Cricetulus griseus: one gene and its partner. The protein of the gene in region 1 interacts with the protein of each later gene in a pairwise test. Links are inferred from orthologs where the notes say so. Each region holds a gene or a part of one and is shown on either strand. Other genes may lie near its edges.

What was found.
Region 2: the proteins of Zfyve19 (region 1) and Vps4b interact in binary tests that used the Homo sapiens proteins (3 or more experiments, as listed by UniProt). The two-hybrid records come from large-scale screens. The link is inferred for Cricetulus griseus from reciprocal best matches to the Homo sapiens genes ZFYVE19 and VPS4B.

Annotation. Positions count from the first base shown.
Region 1 is NC_048599.1:59,266,296-59,278,370, forward strand, and holds the end of Zfyve19 (abscission/NoCut checkpoint regulator), read right to left. Parts: coding exon 12,034-12,075; intron 11,702-12,033; coding exon 11,583-11,701; intron 11,491-11,582; coding exon 11,345-11,490; intron 10,980-11,344; coding exon 10,871-10,979; intron 9,096-10,870; coding exon 8,886-9,095; intron 8,512-8,885; coding exon 8,435-8,511; intron 8,163-8,434; coding exon 8,064-8,162; intron 7,964-8,063; coding exon 7,836-7,963; intron 7,749-7,835; coding exon 7,670-7,748; 3' UTR 7,092-7,669; downstream 1-7,091. Other genes in the region: Ppp1r14d (protein phosphatase 1 regulatory subunit 14D), read left to right, coding at 5,188-5,268, 5,470-5,502, 5,695-5,760. UniProt on the Homo sapiens protein: Key regulator of abscission step in cytokinesis: part of the cytokinesis checkpoint, a process required to delay abscission to prevent both premature resolution of intercellular chromosome bridges and accumulation of DNA damage.
Region 2 is NC_048598.1:77,794,758-77,808,103, forward strand, and holds part of Vps4b (vacuolar protein sorting-associated protein 4B), read right to left. Parts: intron 9,083-13,346; coding exon 8,971-9,082; intron 6,798-8,970; coding exon 6,641-6,797; intron 4,496-6,640; coding exon 4,428-4,495; intron 1-4,427.

The DNA of each region.
Region 1 (12,075 bases):
ACCTATCTGACACTTGTTTCTAAACTTTGTTGGGATGAGTCCTCACTTCGGCAGCACATATAACTAAAATTGGAACATTACAGAGAAGATTAGCATGGTCCCTGCCTGTGCAAGGATAACACGAAAACTTTGTTGGGATGAGTCCAAAGTTGCTTTTAATCCAGGGAATCATTGGCCCTCTCAGTATAGAATTTTTGAGGTCTCTGTTGAATCGGTGTATGATCAACAGTAACTGTTCAGCACATTGCTCAGGCTTGATTTGTGTGTCCAGTCCTCGTGAGGACTGAGAACCGCCCACCTCTGTGCCTCCAGAGCCTCACAGTTGGTCCTGAATGTGCATTTTAGTGCTCAGGGCAAACTCAAGCGTCCCTTCTGCCCATCACCCCAGCTCTTCCTGAGTAACTGTCCTCACTCAGAAATTAGTGCAGTGACTTCTAGCTACCTCAACCTTCTCCAGGTATCATCTCTGTCACATGGCTTCAGTGACACCACTGTGCTTTGCTTGGATCTTCTGGGAACAAATCTATTTCTCTTCTTTCTTGGCTCACAGCCCCAAGTTCCTTATTGTGCAATGTCTGAAAATATTGTTCATTTTTTGTTGTTTTTCTTTTAATTGTTACTTTATATGTATGAGTGCTTCTGTTTTGTGCCTAGAGAGGCCAGAAGAGGCCATTGGATTCCTTGGAACTGGATTTACAAACAGTTGTGAGGGGCCATATGGGTTCTGGGAATTGAACCCAGATAATCTGGAAGAGCAAACAGTACTCTAAACCACTGAGTCATCTCTCCAGCACCTGTTTTTTTGTTGTTGTTGTTTGTTTGCTTCTTTTTGTTGTTGTTGTTGTTGTTTGAGACAGTGTCTGGAACTCATGATGTAGCTCAGGTTGGCTTCGTGTTTTAGCCAAGTGCTGGAGTAACAGGTATGTATCACCATGCCTGACATTTAATTAATTGCTATTATATTATTGTGATGGTATGAAAGAAAATGGCCCCTAAAGGGAGTGGCACGATTGGGAGAGGTGCTTTGTTGGAATAGGTATGGCCTTGTTGGAAGAAGTGTGTCACTGAGCTTTGATGTCTCCTATGTTCAAGCTATTCCCAATGCCACAGTCTACTTCTGATCAAGATGTAGCCAGCATGTGTGCCTACACCCTGCCATGCTCCCTACCATGATGATAATGGGCTGAACCTCTGAACTGTCAGCCATCACCTCAATTAAATGTTTTCCTTTATAAGAGTTGCCATGGTCATGGTGTCTCTTCACAGCAATAGAAACCCTATTATTGTGTGTGTGTGTGTGTGTGGTTTGTGTCTGAATGTGAGCTCGTGTGTGTCATTCACGCACATGTGGAGAACAAAGCCTTCTGGGAACTGGTTTTCTTCTTCCACTGTGGGATCTGGGGATCATACTAAAGTCATCAGTCTTGTGTGGCAAGTGTCTTTATCTGCTGAGCCATCTCTTTGCACCTCTCCCTTAGCCTCCTAGACAGAGTCTCACTGTGTAGCATTTGCCAGCTTTGAATTCACTATATAGATCAGACTGGCCTTGAATCCAGAGAGATTCACCTGCCTCTGCCCTTGAGTGCTGGGATCAAAGGTGTGTGCTACCAAGACTGACCAGGTTTGTTTGTTTTTGTTTCTTTAAAGGAGAATGTTGCTGTGTAACCCTTGCTGCCCTTTATTTGCCGTATAGCCCAGGTTAGCTTAAAGCTTTCATCACTTCTTCTGCCTTAGCTTACCAAGTGCCGAGACTACAGGTGTGTGCCATGACATCTGACTTGTTTGTACATTTTGTGCAATTTCCTAGTTAGCTACATTCTGAGATCATCTAGTCCTGTCACTTCCCCCTGACCATGAGCACAAGGATTTGGAGACATGGTCTCATTTCAGGCTTAGCGGCCAAGGATGACCTCCTGTCTCTACCTCCCAGGTGCTGGGATTACAAGTGTGCTGGGTTTATGCTGGTCCTGGGGACTAGATCAGGGCTTGTGCATGCTAGGCAAGCACTCTACAGGCTGAACTACCCACTATCTGGTTAACTTTTACACTCCAGATTGCAGAGGCCGCTTCTTCCAGGAATCTTCCTGACCCCTGGCTTGGTGATCTTTTCTTCCCAGGTACTGCTATGGTCTCTCATCAAGGCATCTGTCTGTCACCATCTATTGCAACTGCTCTTTCACTTATCTGTTGGCTTTTCAAGGGCAGGATCATGTTGTCTGTCTGTCTTGCTGTTATGGCCCTAAAACTCACCGTCATCTTTGATTCAAAGCATGCCTTTAATAAACAGGCTGAGTGCCAAATGAGATGAGTTATAGATGGGAAAGTAGGGGGTCCTAGAGCCTAGGGAAAGGGGAAAACTGAAGCAATACTGGTTTTTAAAAAGTGCAGAAGTCCCCAAGTGTTAACAGTGTTACCTGTTAGTGAGAGGAGTAGGAAGGTGGATGAGGGTTTTTTTTTTTCCTTTTTGCTACAACATTTGATCTGTTTTATTTGTAATTTACAAAGTCAACTTAATTGAATATAAACTGACATAGACTAAAATGTGCCCTTTTGCAGTGTGTGCAGAGGGACCCGATGGTGGTGGTGCACACCTTTAATGCCAGTTCTTGAGAGGCAGAGGCAGGTGGACCTCTGTTAGTTCGAGGCCAGCCAGGTCTACAGAGCTAGTTCCAGGACAGTTAGGCTGTTACACAAAGAAATCCTGTTGGGGAAAAAAAAAAGGTGTATTTTTCCCTTTATAAAATGTCATACCACCAAGGTAAGAAATATTTCCATCACCCAAGTAATTTCCTAAATGACATTTACCTTTAGACAAATTATGTAATTTATTTGCTATTGCTATTGTATCTGGCTTTGTTGCTGCTGTTGTTACCAGTTTTCCTTTTGTTGTTGTTGTTGTTGGGGGTGGTGGTTTGAGATAGAGTTTCTCTTCAGCTTTGGAGGCTGTTCTGGAACTCACTCACAGAGACCCACCTGCCTCTGCTTCCCAAGTGCTGGGGTTAAAGGCGTGTACCACCACTGCCAGGCTTTTCTTTTTGTTTTGAGACGTGGTCTTGCTACGCAGCCGTGGTGGGTCTTATACTCTACATATAACTCAGGCTGACCTTGTACTGATAGCAGCGCCATCTCGGCTTTGTAAGTGCTAAGATTACACTGGTGTGCCATTTGGTCTGACAGCTTATCTGTTTATGCTATGACTCATTAACTGCCAATAATACGGAGGCTGTGTGAAGACAAGATCTTAGTTCACTGAGGTTCCCAAGTTCATAGTGCCAAGTTCACAGCAGCTACTAAACACATGCCTGAAGAATGGTATATTCCAAATAGTCAAATGGAAAAATAGAAACTTTAAAACCACTAAAGGAAAGTACAGATAGGGGCTGGTGAAGGGTTCAGTGGTAAAGGTCCTTGCTGTCCAAGACCGGCTACCAGAGCTTGATCCCTGGAACCCATGACAGAAGGAGAGAACCAAGTCTACTAGCTGGCTTCTGACCCCACTTCATGTGTTCCTGCGTGAACGCACTCTTGAGCGCACACACATTTTTTTTAAAAGGATGATTATAAAATACCTAGCTAGGTATGGTGGCATACACCTATAATTCCAGTACTCAGGAGGCTGAGGTGGAAGGACAGCAAATTAGGGATCATTTTGGACTATCTTGAAGGACTCCTTTTGTGGTTTTTTGAGACAAGTTCTCACTATACAACTGTAGTTTGTCTGGAACTAGCTGTGTAGACCAGGCTGGCCTTGATCTCTCAGGGATCTTCTTACTTCTGCCTCCTGAGCACTGGAATTAAAGGCCTGAGCCACCACTCTGGGCATTTTTCCTCCCCAAAAGAGAGGGTCTTTCATTGGCTTGAAACTCACATGGAGGCTAGGCTGGCTAGCAGCAAGCCTCACAGATCTACCTGTCTCTACCTTCCCAGTGCTGGGATTATAAGCACTCATTGCCATTCCCCAGGCCTGTTTTAATTTTCAAGTAACATTTATTAAGCTGTGTGTATCCACACATCCGAGGTGTACATATAGAGGTCATAAGACAATTTGTAGGAGTTGGTTCTCTGCTTCCACTGTGCAACTCCTGAAAAGCAAATCTGAATCCTTTGCAAGAGCAGCCAGTGCTTTTAGCTATGTTTCTGGCTCTCCCCCTGCCCTTTAGATAGGGTCTTATGTAGCCTAGACGGGCACTGAAGTGGCCATATAGCCAGGGATTTTCTTGAACAAGAGTTCAAGATCCTCTGCCTCTACCCCCCAGATGCTGGGATTACAGGCATGTACCACCACGCCCAGCTCCCATCTTCTTATTTTATTTATTTTTGGGGAGTTTTTTTTCTTGTTTGTTTTGTTTTGTTTTTTAGAGACAGGGTTTCTCTATATAGTTCTGGCTGTTCTGGAACTCCCTCTGTAGACCAGGCTGGCATCAAACTCACAGAGATCCACCTGACTCTGCCTCCCGGTTGCTGGGATTAACGGCCTGTGCCACTTCCACTTGGCACTTTTTTTTTTTTTTTTGAGACTGGCCTCTCTACATAGCTCTGACTGTCCTAGATGTCCTAGAACCCACTGTGTAGACCAGACCAGCAGGACTCAAACTCACAGAGATCCACTTGCCTTTGCCTCCCTAATGCTAGAATTAAAGGTGTTCACCAACACACACAGCAAGTATCTTATTTTATGTGTATAGGTGTTTTGCCTGCATGTATATCTGTTCTCCAAATGCATGCCTGCTATTCAAGGGAGTGCAGGAAAAGGTGCAGGGAACCCTAGAACTGGAGTTGTGGACAGTTGTGAGCCTCTGGGAGGGTGCTGGGAATCTAATTCAGGTTCTTTGGAAGTACAGCTAGTGCTCTTATCTGCTGAACTGTCTCCCCAGAGCATTCCCCCTCCTTTCTGAGACAAGGTCTCACTCTGAAGTCTGGGTTGCTCTGGAACTCATGATCCAATTCCCTCTGCCTAAGTACTGACAGTACAGGTATGGGCGAAGACGCTTAACTCTTCACACTTTTGTGTAGAACATAGAAATTAGTAAATGCTTGCTGGAGAGAATAATCAATGGGCATTCTGAGTAATCGGAGGTGGGGGATCAATATGGAAATGAGCAGATGAAGGCAGAGGTGGACGAGTCCTTTGACAGTAATTGCCATTCTGGCACCAGGTGGTCAGATATCTCTGTTACTCTCAACTAGGGTCAAGAAGCTCCTGAGCCCGAGATTGATCTGGAAGCTCTCATGGAACTATCGACAGAGGATCAGAGGACTCAGTTGGAGGTAGAATGGGAAGCTGGGGACTGGGAACCTAGGGTCTGCTTCCCTGGGTGTCATGAAGAACACCAACTCACAGCACCACACTAACCACCTGAGCTAACTACCAGCTGCAAAGAACAAGTTATGGGGGAGGGATCTTGGGGAAGACTGATGGGCGCTTGTGGGGAAGTTGTACATCTGTTTACCTGGCTCTCTTTCATCCAGGCCATTCTCCAAGACTGCCCTTGTGACAGAGAGGTAAGGCATATTATGTGTCTGCAGTGGGAGAAAGCCTAATGGGGGAGGCTAGGATGAATAGAGAACATTTGAAAGGAAAGCTTGGCCCTACATTCGTTTCTTCTCTTGCTCTGGGGACATTCGAAGACAGATTAGGGAGGATAGCATAGTGACTGTGATTTCCCGTTTGATTCACTGCTCTTTCTCCCTCAGCCTTTCATCTCTGAGCTGCTCAGTCAACTCAAGAAACTTCGAAGACTCAGCAGGCCTTCAAAATAACACTGGAGAGACCATCTTCTGTAGCTTAGCCCTGTCCTGGATACTGGCTGAAAGGTCTTCAATATAGACAAGGGATGCAGAAGACAAGGAGAGACACTTGTACAGCCCAAGTGTGTGTACAGCTACAGCTGGGCTCTCTCTGCTGGGTTCTCTGCAAGGCAGTTGTGGCTGCTGCCTAATATTTCCCTTGGCAGCCAGGATAAAAACTTTAGGAGGAAACAAAGAACCAAGTGTGTGGAGTGTGGTGTGTATCTATGCTGGGGGATGGGAGAGAGGGAGTGGTATTTGGAAGACCAATATCCTAAGTCCTATGGTTGTGCCCACATCATCTATCCATCCATCCATCCACTACCCTCATCCCCACCCCTATGCCAACCGGTGTTGGGAATTCAAAGATGGAGATCATAGCCTGGCTTTGAAGAGATTGGAATAGTGAGGCCCAGAAGCCATATGGCTGAAGCACACAGCACCAGGGCATCACCAACAAGAGGGGCCCAACTGGTAAAGATAAGCTTTGAATTTCACCAAGGAGGTAATAGGAAACCCCTCACTGGATCTGGAGCTTTCAAGGAGGTTTATCCCTGCTCCACTCAGTGTGGCAGGGGTCTCTACATGCTACTCTAATCTTGGATTGGTTGCCCATACCAGTCTCTGCCCTTAGTGAACTGTGGAAAATGAAAAAAGCAGAGGATATGTAGAGTGAGAGTGAGTACCAGGGGTTGGGTCAAGTTGTTGGAAGATGGATATTAGGTCTTTAAAGTAGGCAAGATGGGACAGGAGCCAGGAGGTAGGTCCTCAGTGAGGCAGGAAGCAGGTCATGTATGGAGTGTTCCTACATTCATTGTTGAAGTACTGCTGAACTGTCTCCCCAGAGATAGGCAGATATCCAACATGGAAGGGTCTTATGAGTAAGCTAAGCTGTCCTGAGTAGAAGGTACAACTCACTAAGATGAATATTCATACTTGGTGTGAGGCCACCAGGATGGTGGGACTGTTCTTACTGGGAGCTCACGATATAGCACAATCTTTCCATGAACTCCACAGCAGACTGCTTTTAGCCTACTGTGTTCTTAGCGCCTCTCACAGGCCTCAGGCTCAGAGGCCACAGGATTCTGAATATAGATGGTGTTGGGAACCTGGAGGTGTAGGTCAGTGTTAAAGCACACATGTAGCATGTATGAAATGTGGGTTCAATTCCCAGTACTGCCAGAAACAAGCTCACAGATAAAAAGGGTCTGGAGCTAGGGATATAGCTCAGTGGTAGAGTCCTTGTTCAGCATGTGCAAGGCCCTGGGTTCAAACCCCCAGTACAGAGAAAAAAATTCTTGGGCTAATGACTCTATAACATATTTTATTTTATTTATTTTACATTTTGTTTATTTATTTATTTATTTAATTTTATTTTTTTACCATTGAAATTGTTTTAATGTTGTTGCAACTCCAAAATGCAACAATCATCAGCTTGTAAAAGACCCAAATTTCAAAGTCATTTTAATTACTCCTTCAGACCTATTCTCATATGATATCATAACATTTTACATTTTAAATTAGAATAATTTATCAACAGCATCTTTTATTAGCTCCACTATAGGCCAGGGCTGGGCCCTGGAAACGGGTTTCAGGGCTCATCCTTAGGTTCAGTCTGATCTTCCCTATCTGCCTCTCAGTTTTAGTCCAGCCTCCTAGAGGGGGCCCTTACTCCTCCTTCCCTCTGGCTCCTCTAAGAGTCATGACCTTCAATGGACTCTTTCTTCTTTACACTGACTGCAAAGCTCACAAGAGTGTGTTTACCATCAGTAGAGCAGGATCGGCTATCCCACTGGATGCCCTGACACCGGGCCCGGGGGAGCTGTCCCAGCCTGCTGGCTGCCTGTGGCTCTGCCACCTCAGGAGGGCATCAGGGTTTTCCTCAGTGTTCTCGGCCAGGTGGTCGGGGGCGGTAGGCAGAAGTCTGATGCTCTTTAAGATCAAAGTTATCGTGGCCCTCCCTGGGGAGCAAAGGGGTGAATGGCAGAGATCTTGGCAGCCCTCAAGTCAAGACCAATCTAGCCTCAGAATGTTCTACTTGCACCCACCGGAAGCACCGGGCACAGTAGAGGTCTCCATCGCAGCCAGCACAGCGCAGGACAGCATCCTCATTGCAGATACAGCACCAGGGGAGCTCTTCTTCCGCAGCCTGGGGCCCAGGAAGCAGAGACTGGGTCTTCAGGAAGACAGGAATAGGGAAGGCAAGTACAGATGGTGCAGAGAGCCAGAGCAAGGCTGTGGCAAGTGTGGGGATACATGTGCCGGGCTTTTCTCACCTTAGTTTCTGCCCTGCAGGATTGGGCCCGGGGTCGGGGAGCTGGTTCCACAGGGATGTTAAAGCCACTTGCCTCATCCAGGGCAGCTTCTTCGGTGAGCTGTGAACAGGGAAGAAGAGAACTACTTCCTGCTCTCGGTCCAGGCTCCCCTCCCAGCATTTCTGGGTTTTGTGGCCTAACTTCTCAGCTCTTCAACCTTTACCTCCTGCTGTTTCTTCCTGGTTTCTTGAGATAGGAAATATGGACCTCAACTAAAATTGAAGCTGTGGAATGACCACTCATGTGGCCCTAAAGGCCAGTGAATGAGAACAGACAACAATGAGGCAGAGGCAGAGGCAGAGGCAGAGGTGACAGGTGGGTAACAAAGCTACCTGCTGCAGCACTCTCTGGATGGCTGTCTCTTCATCCTCCTCATCACTGTCTGGTAGGTGATAGTCCTGGAGGGTCACTTGAATGGGGTACAGGAACAAAGAAAGGAGTGAGGTGAGCTATTTCACCAGATGGCTGCCCTCTTGTCTTCTAGAACTGTTGGTTCCTGGGGGCACCTATTCAGAGCTGAGAACCAAGCTGCTATGCCTCCCTCCCCTAGTCCTGCGAGGCTGGGCCATCAGCCCTGAGAGTGGAGGGCAGTCTGAAGGTCCCACTGTCTCAGAGTCCTCATTCTTTACTCTGTCCATCATAGCTCATGGCTCTGGATGGGACAGATCCTTTGGCACAGGGACCCTTAGTAACCATTTTAGCACTGGCAGGGAAAGTGTAGTCTGAGGTAGCAGTAGACCTTGGACAGGGGGTCTGAATAAGGAAGCTATCTTCGGCCTTTACCTCTGTTGGGGTCCTGTCCCTGAAGTATAGCCAATCTTTTGGCGAGAGCCAGGATCCGTTCCTGCCTGGTGTTCTCCTCTCGTAGCTCAATGGCTGCCTCGGCCAGCAGCCTGCTCTTCTCCTTCTCCAGGGATGGGCTGGCCTGCCCCTGGGAATTTGTGTGCTGGTTCCTTGTACCTCCCTTGTTGAGGTCATTCTGGAGGGGGGCCACTGGAAGGGGTAATAGTTAGGAAGGCAGAAAAATTCCAGAAGCCAGTGAACCCATTTCTCAGCTATTTTTTAACCATATGTTATCAACTTTTGATCAGTACTAGGCTTATATTATATTTCTTCCATTTTTACAAATATAAAATAATTTGGGGCTTTTTGTTGCTTTTTTTTTTTTCTTCGAGACAGGGTTTCTCTGTGTAGCTTCGGAGCCTACCCTGGCACTCACTCTGGAGACCAGGCTGGCCTTGAACTCACAAAGATCCGCCTGCCTCTGCCTCCAGAGTGCTGAGATTAAAGGCGTGTGCCACCAACACCTGGCTGCTTTGAGTTTTTTTTAATTATTATTAAAGATGGGGGTTTGCTATAAAGTCCAGGCTGGCCTGGAACTCTTGATCTTCTTGCCTCTGCCTCACAATTCTTATGATTACAGGTATGTACCATCATGCCTGGCAATACTAGTAATTTTAGTTGTGTCTTTTTCAAATGCATCAGCCTCTATCCACCTAGTTAATATAGGGTGGTTATCCTATGGCTTGAGAATCACTGCCCTAAGGGATCAGGATATGGGAAGCTAAGGTTTAACTGGGCTGTCTTTCAGGGCTGGAATTAGTATTTTCTGAGAGCAGAGTGAGAGATCCTGAAGGAAGCAGCAGTCTTAGATAAAGGGCAAGAAGAAATTTTATCAGAGTGGATTTGGCTCTGACATGGTCACCTTGAGTCTAGAGTTTCAGAACAGGGGCTTTAAAACCAGTTCACTCCTGTAATGACCTCAGCTGGGAGGTGCAAGTAGGAAGATCAGGAGTTCATGGTCATGGCAAGTTTGAGGCCAGCTACATGGGACCCTGTCTCACAAAATAAAACAAAAACAAAAATAGTGTTATGTAGAAGGCTCATCCCTGCCAATTAAGGGCTGTGCCTGTGGCCAAGCCCCTGAGCTTACCAAGCCTGTTTCCTCAGTTATACATAAGGGTTACAGTCCTCCATCAGACCAGTGAGGTACCCACTGAGACTGAGTCTATACAGCAGTTTATCACTCTTAGTTCTTTTGACAATTCTCTTTTAGGGGGTGGGGGGCTAGCAACTGCACATTGGGTCCCAGCAGCATTCCTGTCTTTCACCTACCAGGTGCCAGCAGTACCTGTCAACTGTGATAACAAAAATGTCCCTAAACACTCCCAAAAGTGCCCTAAAGGTAGAAGTCATCCCTAGTTGGAATTCTGCTATGGAGCCTTCATACACCACTGTCCAAGAACCTCCTGTGATGTTGGGAACATGCCATAGCATGTCCTAGACTCATGCTGTCCATGATGTTTGCTGCAAGCTCACGTGGAGAGCCAGTGGTTGAAATGTGGCTGGCAGCAGAAGGCAACTGAATCTTAACTCTTCTAATTTAAACCTCTTACCCATTATCAGTGTCTTCACTGCAGACAATCCTTGCTAAGTCCTTATTATGAGCCGGGCAGTCCCAAGCCCTTACTGTGTTATTCCATTTATTCCTCATGACTTCTCCCACAACACAGGTTTTACCACACATTGCTTGAGTTTACAGATTAGAGATTTAGACAGGTCAAGGAACACATGGAGGGTGGTGGGACTGGAATTCCCCATCTGATTCTAGAGCCAGTGCAAGAGGCCTACACTGGCTCCATTTGAAGTAAGCACTCGGTACTCAGAAGCTCTTTAGTGTTGACCATCCTGTGACTCATATTCGCCTCCTCAGAGGGCAGGCAGAAGAGGCAGGGCATGACTATGGAGAAGCCAAGTGGACTGGTTACCTGGGGCTCTTCGTTCCCAGCTTTCATCGATAGCCACCTCAGCTGCCAGCTGTGTTAGCAGATCCTGAGTCTGCTGAGCCTGGGTCCTGGTATCTGGTGCCTGGTGTGCCTGTGCAGAGGAGGGAACCTCAGTGGGGAATATCGGGATGGGGAAGGCCACACCAGAAGTCCAGAAGAGGTCTGAGTCAGGGGTGGATGCTGAAGAGTTTTCAAAGCCCATGGAAAGGGATGAATTCAAGGTCCACATAGGTGAGTAGGTTGGCAGCTCCCAACAGGACTGAGTATCCACTCTTTGCTGACGCACTCAGTCCTGCTGCTTGGCACTGGTCTTTGGCTTGAGAGCAGGCCTAAGGCTCAGGAGGTAGGGGTGAGAGGCTTTACTAACTCCTGCAAAGCACATGATCATACATGTATCTGGGCTTCTGTAGGGAGCTTGCCCTAGGAAACCCTTCTCTCCCAAGCCACAACACTCACCGGTCTCACGGTGTGAGAAGGTGGTACTCTGCCCTGTAATGCTGCAAGCCGATCCTCCATTTCTCGTGTGGAAGGGATGGCGCCCTGGACTTCATCCTTCAGGGCAGCTAGCCGTGCCTCTATCTCTGCTTGTGAGGGTACTGACTCTGCAATTGGCAAGTGTTTGTAAGGGCTGGAGGCAGCTCAGTCCCAAGCCCTGCACCCTGCCTTTGAGGTCCCCCTGTACACTTAAACTCACTGGGCTTGTTTTCCTGACGGAGCCGTGCTAGGCGATCAGCGATGGCTTGGTCTTGTTGGGTCAAGCCCTGGCTCTGGGAAATGCTGGGCTTTTTCTTGGCTTCCAAGGCTGCCACACGCCTAGGAGGATATGAGGCAGACACTCTTAAGGCAAAGGGGAAGACTGAAGGCACCCATCCAAATCAATTGGGGCCTCTACAGGCAGTCTTCTGTGACCTCTATTTATGTGGTACTGCAGCCCAACCCAGCTGACCAGCTGTAGGGTATGTCTAACAGGGAAAGAGCTCCCAGATGCCTTTTCTGAGAACAGATTAATGAGCTGCTTTCAGAATCCAAGAGGGAAGCAGGAGCCCAAAGGTCTGCACCCATGTGGTCTGCAGATTGGAAGGAGAGCCCTGCTACTGGTGTCCTTGTCCTTTGCCATCCCCACTTGTCTTTTTTTCAGTACTTACTTCTTGTAGTTCTGAGGTGGCGACCACTTGGAGGTATTGTCG
Region 2 (13,346 bases), on another chromosome or scaffold:
GAATAGCAGAGAGAATACACTTCAGCCAAAGACAGGAGACAAGATGAGGAAAGACAGAAGGAATGGAAATGAGAGAGGAACAGATAATGGAAAAGACAGTGTGTGCTTAAAGATATGCAATTCTTCCTTGAGATTTGCCAAACTCTCTATCTGGCTTTTAAATAGAACTTTTTTTTTCTTTTTAATTAGAACAAGTTACTTAAAGGGATGATTTAGTTTCTCAAAAACTATAGTAACTGTTATAGTAAGAGTCCAAGAGAAGAGTCCTGCAATTAGTAGAAGAAACTTTAACTATTTTCATCAAAAGCTTTTCCAATTTTCTAGTACACAGGAACCGCTTTATTATAAATGACTAAACAGCCCAATAAGATGAGAAGTAGCCGCTCTACACTGGAGAATGGCTCAGTCAGCAAAGTCATGCCATATAAGCATGAGGCTCTGAGTTCAGATGACTCTCCAGCACCCACTTCAAAACTGTGGTGGCATGTCTATAACCCCAGCTCTGGGATTACAGAGACAGGAGGATCCCTGGAGCTCACCGTCTACCAACAGATAAGCTCCAAGTTCAGTAATAGAGCTTGTTGCAAAAACTAAGGTAGAGTGATGCCTAGGAAGATGCCTGAAGTCAATCTCTGGCCTCCATACACATTCACACACATGAACATACACAAAAAGATGATAGGTAGTTGTTTAAGAACACAGACAACTCCATGTACATCAATCACCGATCATGATATTACTTTTAAACCTAATTTATTGTTGTTAGGAATTATCACCTATGATTCTAAGCCTATATTTGGTAACTTAACTTTCCTAAAGTATAAAAATCTTTAGTCACTAAGCTAAAACTAATTAAAACCATATTTTGCAATCTAAAAGTTCAGTTTGATACACAAAAGTCAATGTGCATTGTTTATGTTCCATTAAGATCAGTAACCTCATGGTAAAAAAAAAAAGTATCTACACCACATGATAGGGCTTCATTATTAAATGAAAGTGAATCCTTTTTATCCATGTGCATCATCTGGCTAACTCAAGATTTTCATGTAATCTAATACCACAAGAAGCTGAAGAAACAGTTCAGCTGGTAAAGAGCTTGCCGAACAAGTGTTGAGAACTGGAGCTAGGATTCCCAGCACCATGTAAATGCCAGGTGGATGTGCGATTGCATGTGATCCCAGCATGTGGAGATACAGAGGGTCTCTGGAACAAGCTGGCTAACTAGACTACACTGAATGGTGAGCTCTGGGTTCAAGTGCAAAACTCCGCCTCAATACACAAGGTAGAGAATGCTCACAAACACAACAATCACTTGCTCCTACATACACACACATACTCTTCCCAACATGTCAAGAGTACTAACACACATGAACACGCATGTACATATGCATATACACCTCCTTGACCAAGTATGCATAATATATTCTCCCCCTCTATTTTTAGAGACATGGTCTCACTATGTAGTTCTGGCTGTTTGGAACTATCTGGCTGGCCATAAAACTCACAGAGTTCTGCCTGCCTTGGCCTCTCAAGTGCTACAGGAGTGCTCAGCTTATTCCCATGTTTAATATTTTTATTAAAGTTTAGAGGTGACTTTGCAATATTTAGTTGTGAAAGATTAAGTGCCAGACAAAACTTAATGGTTTATAAAACTAAAAGGGCAAGGTAAGATTACTGAAAAATATAAATTGACTCTACTTCCAAGAATATAAATGTACCGTTTTTTTTCATTACACCGTATATTATATTTAAATATTATTTAGGGGCTGGTAAGATGGCTCAGTAGATAAAGGCATTTGCTGCCAAGCTTGTGGATCCAAGTTTGATCCCCAGAACTACATGATGGAAGTACAAAACTAATTCCTGAAAGCTATCCTCTGACTTCCATACAAGTGTTGTGGTACACATGCACACACCACACACACAACAGGAACACACAATAAATAAATACAAAAAATTAAACTCAAACAGGCATTTAATCCTACAAGTCCCTAAATTAGCTAACAAAATTAGCTAACAGAAAATTCATACCATAATCCATTTTAATCGCAACAGTCATATATTAAATACCATAGTCCAAAACACAAGTAAAATGTTAAAATATTATTTCAGGAATAAAAAATTTTAAAAATTATAGAATGTGTGTGTCTGCATGTGTAGATGTGCAGTCTGTGTGTCTTGTGTAGAGGCCAGAGGACAACCTCAAGTTCATTCCTCAGGAGCCATCACCTACTTTATGAGACAGCTCCCTGGCCCAAGGCATAACTGGCAGGCTGGGCTGGCAGGCCAGCATACCTGAGGCATCTACCTAGCTTCACCTCCCAGCACTAGGATTATGGATGTATGCTACCATGTCTGTCTTTAGTATGTGAGTTCTTAGGCATCAACCCTGGTTGTGTGGCAATCATTTTACTGACTGAGCTATCTTCCCAGTACTAACAAACAAAGATACTAATCCAATAACAATCATTACATTAAAAAACAAAACAAAAAAGAAAAAAACAAAACAAACAAAAAACAAAGGACAAAAGCCAGGCATGGTGGCACATACTTCTAATCCCAGAACTTGGGAGGTGGAGACAGAAAGATCACAAATTCAAGGTCCTTAGCCACATAAAATTTAAGGCCAGTGTGGGCTATGTGAGACACTGTCTTCAAGCAACAACAACAAAAAACCACAAACAAACAAAAATCCTCACAGGAAAGGCTAAAGGTCCATTCACATTCTATTTCATTCTGAGATTACAAAGGCTTCTACATCTAACTGTTGTTTTAGGATTTACAACTGATAGGAATTTACAAATATCTCTGTTAAAAACTCTAATTTTCAAAATTGACTATATTATATGGTCTACTTTTCACTTGGGGTAAGGGAATGGGTAGGGAGAAACCAAACTAAACCAGCAAGGTAAACAGACAGGAAACAGTTTCTTGCCTTACAACTCAAAAGGTCTACTTAGTGTAGATCAAAATTGACAGTTTGTACAGTGAGCGTCCTCTTACTTCAGGCAGTGCAGTGCACCAGGGTAAACTCAAAGTTCCCAGGAACTGTATCTGTCTGCTACAAATGCTACAAAAGTTCTTGGGATATAAAGAAAAAACAAACCAACAACAACAAAAATAACCCTATTTTCAGGGGCTGGCGAAGTGGCTCAGTGGTTAAAGAGAGCACACTGTTGTTCCAGAGAAATCCAATTTGGATCCCAGAACCCATATCAACAAGTTTACAGCTGTTGACACTACGAGCTCCAAGGAGATCTGAAACCCTCTTCTGGTCTTTGTGGGCATCCACTCACATAGACAGATACATACACATAGATAAAAAAAAAAAAAAAAAAAACTAAAACCAAAACCCTCTGCTCTCTAGCATAGTTAATTATAGTTTTCAACATATAGTTTATAGTATTCTCTCACACATCCCAGTGGGGTGGGTAAGAGAGAAATATTACTAAAATGAAAGAAGTAGTACATCAAGGTTAGAGGTCTAAGACTACACCCACACCCACACAAATTCACTATCCAGTAACCAAACGGAGCCTACAACATGGGAATCCTTTTGTTAAATATGCTGTTAGCTAAGACTCTAAGGTGCAAATACGTACTACCAATGACTAAGCCTTTTATTTGAAAAGCCATTAGCTAACATACAAAAGAACAATCACATCTCAGCAATTAAAGAAACCAACAATTAAGTAGATAGCTTTTTAGATACTCTGAGCTACCATTTATCAGACCTTTAGAATTTATTAAGATCTTTTTGCATTATCTTGCTTTCCTTTCCCTGAAAGAAATGTCTATTTTCAAGATGGGGACTCAGATTCTGAGAGGTTGGAGAACTTGCCCATAATTTGAAAGCTTTTGAGTGGCAGACCTCAGAGTGGAATCCAAATCTGTGTTTATGGCTACTCCATTATGCCACTATATTTTAGGACAGCAGAATCAAAGAGCCTTGACATGTGTAGCAGATAAAAAGAGAAAAGGATATATAATGCACTAAGCATATCTGTGAACACTGGAAAGTGGGGGAGAAGAACAGAGAGAAAAGGAAGCACAGATCAAATGCAGCAATGGCAGTAGAATCAGTGTAATTCCTAATCCATTCAGTTCCTTGGGCCTTGTAGTGTGTTAGTAAGTGTCAATGCTACCTATTTTACAAGGGGCAAATAAATGAAAAAGAGCGACTGTTGGCAGCTCATTAAAGGCAGATAGGAAAACAAACCATTTTTTTTTTAACTTCATTGAAAACAATAAAATATTAAAAAGACTTGAGAGTAAATCCTGGTCTGGAACCAAGCCAGTATGCTACCCACCAGCAACCAAAGCCATTTTTTGAAACTCAATGAAATAGAGGGAAACAAAACAGTTCAAGGAAACAATCCATGAGTCTTTTCAATAAGAGTAAATTTAACAATGAAATCCAGAGTAACCTTGAAGTTGATTCTGTAGTTTCTTTTTTTCAGGATCATCAGATTCTGCTTCCCCATCACTGTCATTCCTAATGAAGAGAATTTAATATATGCAAAAGATCACTCACTGCTAATAAACAATGCAAAAGTGAAAGAAAGATAACCTAAAATGTTTAAGTAAAAGACGTTGACATTAAAAATTATTTTTATTTAAGTGTTCCAAATGATGCTTTTAAGAATATAAAACAGGAAGCAGGCAAATAATCAATAGGGAACTATGCACTGGAAATGAACAAGACCAGGATGAAGTCAGATACACCTCCATCCTCATGATATACTTGTGCATTTATGTATCCACAGGTTGTATGCCCCATACTATTCAATGAGGGACTTAAAATAGAGTACAGGAAAGTTGTAAGAAACTACAAAAACATCAGGACCAGGTCAAACATAACTCAACAAGACTTGATGCTAGGAAGAAAATGTACAATACACAATTATCTACAACATAACCCTTTGCCTGAGGTTCCAAAAAATAGAAAAAGCTTCCTAGTGAAAATCTTCTGAACATACAAGAAAAATGGCCAGCCTACTTATGTTGATTACCTTTTGTCAACTTGATACAAAGCTAGACTACTTGGGAGAAGGAAATCTCACTGAGGAATTGCCTTCATCACACTGGACTGTGGAATATGTGTGGCACTATCTTGATTGCTGATTGATGTAGGAGGGCCCAATCCATTGTGGGCAGGTGAGCTTGGGCTATATAAGGAGGATGGCTGAGCAAGTGTGGGAATATCTGGTGAGGGGTGGTGGTGGTGGTGGTGGCAGCAGGATCTCTACTTGAATATAAAATTCCACAGGTATGAATTCACTCTATGTCCCCATATGGTATCCTGGGTAGTTTTCCTAATGATGGGAACTCAAGGTTGATTCTCAAAATTCTGTAAAGTAATCCCTATAAAAATCAGTAAGTAAGTCCAGTCCTGCTGCTTGTAACCAAGACTGTTATTTAGTAGAGAAGACTGGCTCTCCCTTAACAGGCAGCCATGGCAGAGCAGGTCATTACAGGGTCCTCACTAACACACCACATGTCCCAGCAGACAGGAAGACCAAATATTCCTGCTGACAGAAGTCTGTGATATGTGGAAGCCCCGTATGTTCATGATGAGTATGTGCATTTCATGTACAGAATATAAAATACTCTTGGCAAGTCACAGAAACTCTGTTTCCTAACCATATCTTAACAGAGAATATAAAACTCGGGGCTTATAATTCTCTTCAAACTCTGCCACACAGAGTTAAGGCAGTCAAATCTAAATTTTATACTTCTCCTGTCCTTAACTTTGGCAATTCCTAAAGAAGCAAAATTTCAACATGAACAAACATGGGCGGGGAGCACTGACTATAGGGCTCCATCCCTCATTCCCTCATGACCTTGGGCATCATCCAAGAAACCTGTTGCCTGCAGAACATAAACTGAGAGCATCATAGGTTCCAGATCTCACCAAATCCTCAGTGCTTCCAACCCAGGCAGGCCACATCAACCCAGAATCTCATTTTCCTAATGTGTCATCAGAGCCATGCTGGCACCCATTCATAGACTCAAGGACAAATCTAGCTACCGCATGTCCTCCCTGCTTAGCAGAGCTGGGAATGCATGCACTAAATGTATAGTAAATGCTCTTTACATTTGTGATACCTAGGTGCACCTAGGAAGATATTTAAAAACTGGAGCTCACTGTTCAAAAACTGTGCTGTTGCTTTCTTCACAATGGCATAATGCAAATCCACATTTAAAAAACCCTTTGCATAAAATAAAAATTGACATTATTGGAGTTCATTTTCATTTTGTCCATAGGGTCAGATTTAATTCACAGGTCACTCCAACTGAATGTCACGGTTTTGTTAGTGCCATGCCCATGGTGTTTTCCCAGTTACCTGAAAAGTCAGGGAGGTATAAACATGCAATAAGCACAGACTAGTAAACTTTGATCTTTGAAAGACTTGATGGTAAATATTTCTGGGTTTTGTGGTTTCTATTGTAACCACTCAACTCAGCTGCCTGAGATGACAGTAAATAAACTGTCTCAATAAAACTTAATGACTAAAATGGGCAACAAGCTCACTCTGGCCCATGACTCATAGTTGGAAAATATCTGGCTTAGACAAAAGAAACCTATAACCAAATAAGAGGTTACAAAATGTAAAATTGAACACTTTAAAATACATACCCCTTCTCATCAACTGCACTGGACTGTTCCTCTTTCACGGGCTTCTGTGGCTTCTTCTCCTTTTTCTTCAAATACTCCTTCAGTTTTTCTGCTCTATCAAGGTATTCTGTACACTTGGCCCTGATACTTTGCTTGGCTTTATCACCTTGTGCTTCATCTGTAGAAGGGAACGAGACACTATTTCATTAGCATTTGTTGTGGTCTGAATATGAAATATCCCCACAGGCTCGTGTATCCAAACACTTGGACCCCAGTGGGTGATGCTATCTAGGAAGGTTAAGGAACAGTTAGGAGGTAGAGCCTTGCTGGAGAAACTATGTCACTGGGAGTGAACTCTGAGTTTTTTGGGGTTTTTTGTTTGTTTTTGTTTTTCGAGACTGGGTTTCTCTCTATTGCTTTGGAGGCTGTCCTGAAACTCACTCTGGAGACCAGGGTGACCTCAAACTCACAGAGATCCCCCTGCCACTGCCTTCTGAGTGCTGGGATTAAAGGCATGCGCCACCAGTACCCGGCCAGATTCTGAGGTTTTATGATTGGACTCTATTTCCCATTCTCTAGTTTCCTAAGTGTTGGTGTTCTGTGATCAATTAGCTCCCTGACTCCCAGACTAGCCTCACACTCCTGCTGCCATGCCTTCCCTGCAATGACAGGCTGGATCCCCTCTGGAACTGTATGTAAACCACAATGAGGCTTTTCTTTCCTAACTTGTTTTCTGCCACAGTATTCTATCACAACACCAGAAAAGCAACTAATATAGTATTCAACAGAGAAAAGTTCAAACTTAGAGCTATTCTTTTAACTAGGAATTTCTATGACACAGGAGAAGGAGAAAGCATTGCTAATTCATTGTGTCCAGTGATTATCACACCTTTTCTGTTCCTTCTCTCTCGCTCTGTTACAGGATGGAAGCCAAAAGTGGGTGTGAATTTAAAAACAAAACAACAACAAAAAAACTTCAGAGTAAAATGGTAGATATTTTAAGTTAATGTTATATAATCACAAAGTATTTAACAGTCTATAGGTTTCAAATTCTTCCCTTTAACAGTTTGTAGATAGCTGAAAGCTGTCTTACATAAAACCAACCACAAGCTGGGTGTGGTGGCACACACCTGGAACTCTGTGAGTTCAAGGCCAGCCTGGTCTACAGAGTGAGTTGCAGAGCAAGCTCCAAAGCTACAGAGAAACCCTGTCTCGAACAGCAAAAAAAGCTGGGCGTTGGTGGCACACGCCTTTAATCCCAGCACTTGGGAGGCAGAGGCCAGTCTGGTCTCCAGAGTGAGTGCCAGGATAGGCTCCAAAGCTACACAGAGAAACCCTGTCTTGAAAAACCAAAAAGAAAGGAAGGAAGGAAGGATGAAAGGAAGGAAGGAAGGAAAGGAGGAAGGAAGGAAGGAAGGAAGGAAGGAAGGAAGGAAGGAAGGAAGGAAAACAAAACTAAACAACCAAAAACACACAACAAAAAAACAACCATAAGAGACAACACACAACTCTGAATGTAGAATAGTGACTACTAAAGGCTGGGAAAGCAGCAGTTAGAAAAATGGCAGCTGGATTTGCTCTCTGTACACTGCAGGCATATGTTGATAGATAAAATAAATACAAGTGAATAAAAGTTTTAAGATATAAAAGATAATCAGAAGTAAATCAGTAGTAACTCCATTAACATCTTTTGTCTGCTTTATTTCACAGTATACAAAGTGACAGAAATCACACACATTATATAGACCAACAACACAGTAGCCTTATTACTATATTAAAAGCCTCTATCATGGCTATTCTGAAATGTAGAATTGAACAATACAGGCAATGCATAGGCTTATTCTCATGTGTCTTACGTGTTATATTTCATTCACAGTTTTTCCCTTCCACTTAAATGGGAAAGCTCAAATTAAAATAACCCAATGCACTGAGTGTAAGATTGGTGATGGATCTTGCAGGTTTTCATGCACTTGTTTCTTAGTGTTGAATCTCCAGTTCCCAGAATAGAGCCTAGCACATGATAAACATCAAGTATGCATTTGTAAAATACATTTAATATCGCCCAACCTATTCTCACGACAAAATCATTTCCAACAGATGTTTAGGAGAGGATTAAGTTCAAATCATATAATCTGGATAGCTTATCTATAAAACAAGGTTTTCTCCATTGAATACATAAAAAGATACTGGGTTTGTGAAGTAACATCTACAACAGCTGTCACATCTGTTAGCAGTACTTAAAAGTTAGGAGAACGGGGACTTTTTCTAATGGGTGGTTTAGAGCTTTAGAATTCTTGTAATAATTTTTTCCCTTTTAGTGCACAAGTTTAAGTAAAATAAACATGCCTTACACTTAACGACATGGAGAAAATACTGAACAGCATGTTGGTAGAGTTGAAGGGCTTCCTCATAGTTCCCAGCTTTGTCTTCCTGGGATGCTTTGCTTGCAAGATCTATTGCTTTCTGTTTGAGGGAGGCAAAATAATAAACTTAGTATGAAAGCATAAATCTTAAGTTTGAAGCAAATAATATTCCCTCCAAAACACACAGTGAGGGAGGTTAGGGAAATTCTCAAAATTTAAATACTGCTGAAGAGGAGACATGGCTCTGGGATTAAGGGCACCTGGCTAGTCTTCTGGGCAACCAGGGTAAAATTCTCAGCATCCACATGTCAGATCACAAATGTCTGTGACTCCAGTTCAGGGGATCTGACATACTCTTTTGGCCTCCATGGGCACCAGGCACATACAGCCCACAGATACACATGCATATACAGAACACCCATACACAGAAATTTAAAGAATTTGGAAAAACCCTAGTGCTGCTTTGCTTGAAGCATAAACATAATACACAGAGATAAAAACAAACAAACAAACAAACAAAAATAACAACAAAAAAACCCAACTGAACCCATGGAGCAATGAGAATATTAAAAGGTCATTAAAATCATATTAAAAAATCTTAGTAGCATGAAAAGAATCTGAAGAACACTTTTTGATGATCTGACAAAGATTCATTTTCACATCTTTGTGACAGGAACTATTACAGAGATTAAATAGAGCCATACAAACATAGCCAAGGTGTTAAAGTGATGTAGAACCGAGGCTTTTAAAATGGTATTGTACCAAATGGGCATCCATGAGGGTACCAAAAAAAAAAAAAAAAAAAAGGAATCTTAACTTAAATCCCATGTGTATGTGTCTAGCAAAAACTAACTCAAAATGAGCAGACTTAAACCTATAGAAAAAACAAAAAAAAAAACAAACAAAAAAGTTCTTACATTTAACATCAAAAGCACAGTGTATACAATGAAAAGATGTTAACATGGAAAATATCAATTTAAAAATATCTGTTTTCTAAAAGATTCTAATGATGAAAAGACAGTACAGACTGGGAGAAATACTGTGAAGCATCAGACAAAAGAGAAATATCTACTAGATTGCATAAAGGGATCCTGAAGACATAACAGTTTAAAAAGAATCCATTAATGGGCTAGTGAGATGGCTCAGCAAATAAAGGGTCTTGCTACCCAGCTTGATTGAGAAACCCACACAGTAGAAGAGAACCAATTAGTCCTACAAGCTGTATTCACACAAAAGCCTGTACATTAATGAATTTTCCAGGCAGCCTTCAATGGTATCACTACTAAACAGCTATATAAATACCATCAAACACTAGGCAGCAGTAAAAAGGGATGGACTATTGCTATATAAGATGTGGATGAATCTTGAGGCTATTATGTTGATTGAAAAAAGCCAATGCTAATCGTTGAGTATTAATGGCTCCATTTATATACTGTTCTCAAAATGTCAACATCAGAGATGGGAAGTGATGAATTCTGCCAGGGAATTGGAATGTGAGTGAAAGAGAAAATGGAGGTTCAGTGTAGACTTAAGAGAAGCAAGTATACAGGGTCCCTCTGGAACTGCTCTGAAGTGCAATGCCTGTTTATGCGCTGGTTATGTGTTTAGTTTTGGACATAAACCTGTGGTGATAGACACACAAACACACAAAAGTACAAGTCAATCTGTGGAATGAGTAAGAGTTACAGAATGTGTCAACATCAATATCCTGATGTGATACTGTACTGGTTTTACAACATGCAACTAGGGGAAGGGTACACTGAAAATCTCTTCTCACTTTTTAAAACTTCATGTTGTCTCAAAACTGACTACACTTTTTAATTTAGGGGCTAGAAAAATGTCTCAGGGGTTAAAAACACTCACTGCTCTTCCCAACATCTCCATGGTAGCTCACAATCAGCTGTAACTTCATTTTCAAGAGGTCCAATGCCCTCTTCTAGCCTCCATGGGCATTAATAACACACATGGAGCACAGACATAATGCAGGCAAAGTACCAATACACATAAAATAAATTGTAATGTAAAATATTTGCAGACATATGAAAATAAGGAACTCAACTTCTTTTTCTTCTCTCCATGCATGCTTGTCTTGTATATTCAGAACCAGTTTATATCCATTCAGATAGACAACCTTGAACTCTTTACAAACTCCAGACTCCAACTCCCCCTCTCTCACTTTGTAACTGAAGGCACAGACTGAACTATTTTCTTTCTTAAAATTTTCTCTGCACCAGCTTTACTTGTGCATTTAAAGCAGTAACCACCCTAATTTGGCCAGTCACCACCTTCTACCACACAGACCTCTGTCTTGTAAATGGCCTCCTTTCGTTCATACTGGCTACCAGTTATATTTGTTACTGTGTGAAGATGAAAGTTTGATTCTGAAAGGAAAGTGTGAAAATGCCACTCAACTGTCCAAGGCCTTTCTGTTGCTTTCCATGTACAGTTGAATGAGGACCCACCATGGGACACAGCACACAAACTCCTGTGACAACCTGTTTCCATTCATGCTCCTTCCTTAGGCTCTGAGTTCCCGTCATCAAACTGCTGGTACAACCTAAACCAACTAAAGCTACACACATAACTGACATACAAAGAAGACCTATGCTATTGTCTCCCTGTAAAATTCCAGCTTCTTAAGGCTTCAGTGCCAGTATGGCCCTCCTGGTCCAACACACTCTCCAGAACCAACCAGTCTAGTATATACTTTCTGGATTCCTATGATCACCTGTACATGTTTCTAATGATTATATTCTGTTCTATTGGTTGCTTTCTGCTTTTATATAAACCATTAGATTTGTGTGAACACAGACATGTGTATATACCGGAAGTCACACACAGACACCAATTCCAAAAATCTTAATATAGTTTTATATGGACAACAAATATTTAGGACTGGGTCATCTGAGTGTTTTTTCTTTTTCTTTTCTTTGTTTTTTTTTTTTTTTTTTGAGGTTTAAGTCACATTCTTTTACTTGGAGTTTTCTCCATCTCGCTACAAGTTTTTTTGTTTGTTTGTTCTTTCAATTTCTGCATTTTTCTCTGCAGAAGGCCTTCACCATTCTCCTTTAAGGACCCAGAATTCTGCAGTGAAAGAAAACCTCAAACATGTAAGCACACAGACCTGGATTCAAAACTAACATAAACACCAATTAACTGTGTGTCTTCAGCACACCACAGCCTCAAGAAGGTTGAGTTTCTAACACCATGAAACTGGAGTAGCATTCACCTTGAGGAACTGTTCTGAGGATTCAATGAGATCACATCAAACACTGAGGCAATTACATTTTATCTGTCATCACATCACCTCTCAGTGAAACATTTCTTATTTGTCCTTGGAAAGATGAGCTACACACCCTTACTGGATGCCAAGCCACACTAGCTTCTAATTCAGCTATAGTATATATGGAACTTTTTGTTTGTTTGTTTTTTGTTTTTGTGTGTGTGTGTGTGTGTGTGTGTGTGTGTGTGTGTGTGTGTGTGTGTGTGTGTGTGTGCTCTTTTGCTTTTTGTTTTTCCAGACAGGGTTTCTCTGTGCAACAGACCTAGCTGTCCTGGAACTCATGGAATTCTTTTTATTATTTATTTATTTTGGAGGGTTTCTCGAGACAGAGTTTCTCTGTGTAGCTTTGGAGCCTATCCTGGCACTCGATCTGGAGACCTGGCTGGCCTCAAACTCACAGAGATCTGCCTGCCTCTGCCTCCCGAGTGCTGGGATTAAAGGCGTGCGCCACCAATGCCCGGCTGTCACTCTTTTTTTTTAAATTCTGTTGTTTGTTTTAGTTATTTGCATCCTACATTAGATTTAAACCATCTGTCAACAAAGATTTGTGCTTTGTTTCTTGGAGAAGTTACTTATTTCCCAGTTCTTCATCTAGATTTCCTAGGTTAGAAAGTTGAGAAGGCTGGAAAAAAGCTCAGCAGAAGCAACCACTATCAACCACTCAACAACCCTCTTCTTTATCGGTCCCATCTGTGCTTTTACTATTCATCTGGCTCACCAAAGAACATCTATCAATCCAAATCAAACACAATACATTCTGGTTATAGAATCAAACTACAAATGTTAAAAAAAGATGATGAATATTACAAAAGAAATCCTTAATATCCAAAGGAAAGCCTTTACCAATAAACAAATACATTCACACACACAAAGACAAAACCACCAAAAAAAGGCCCTAAATCCCCCAAACCAACCAAACTAAACCAAAAAACACCCCCCCCCAGCATTTTCTGAATAGGGTTACAAAAATTGGGGGAAAAGATAAACATACACATCAAGAGGGAACTCACTCTTAATTCTTAGAAATAAGCTATGGTTGCAATTAGACGTTAGTAAAGATAGCAAACACTTTTATAATCTC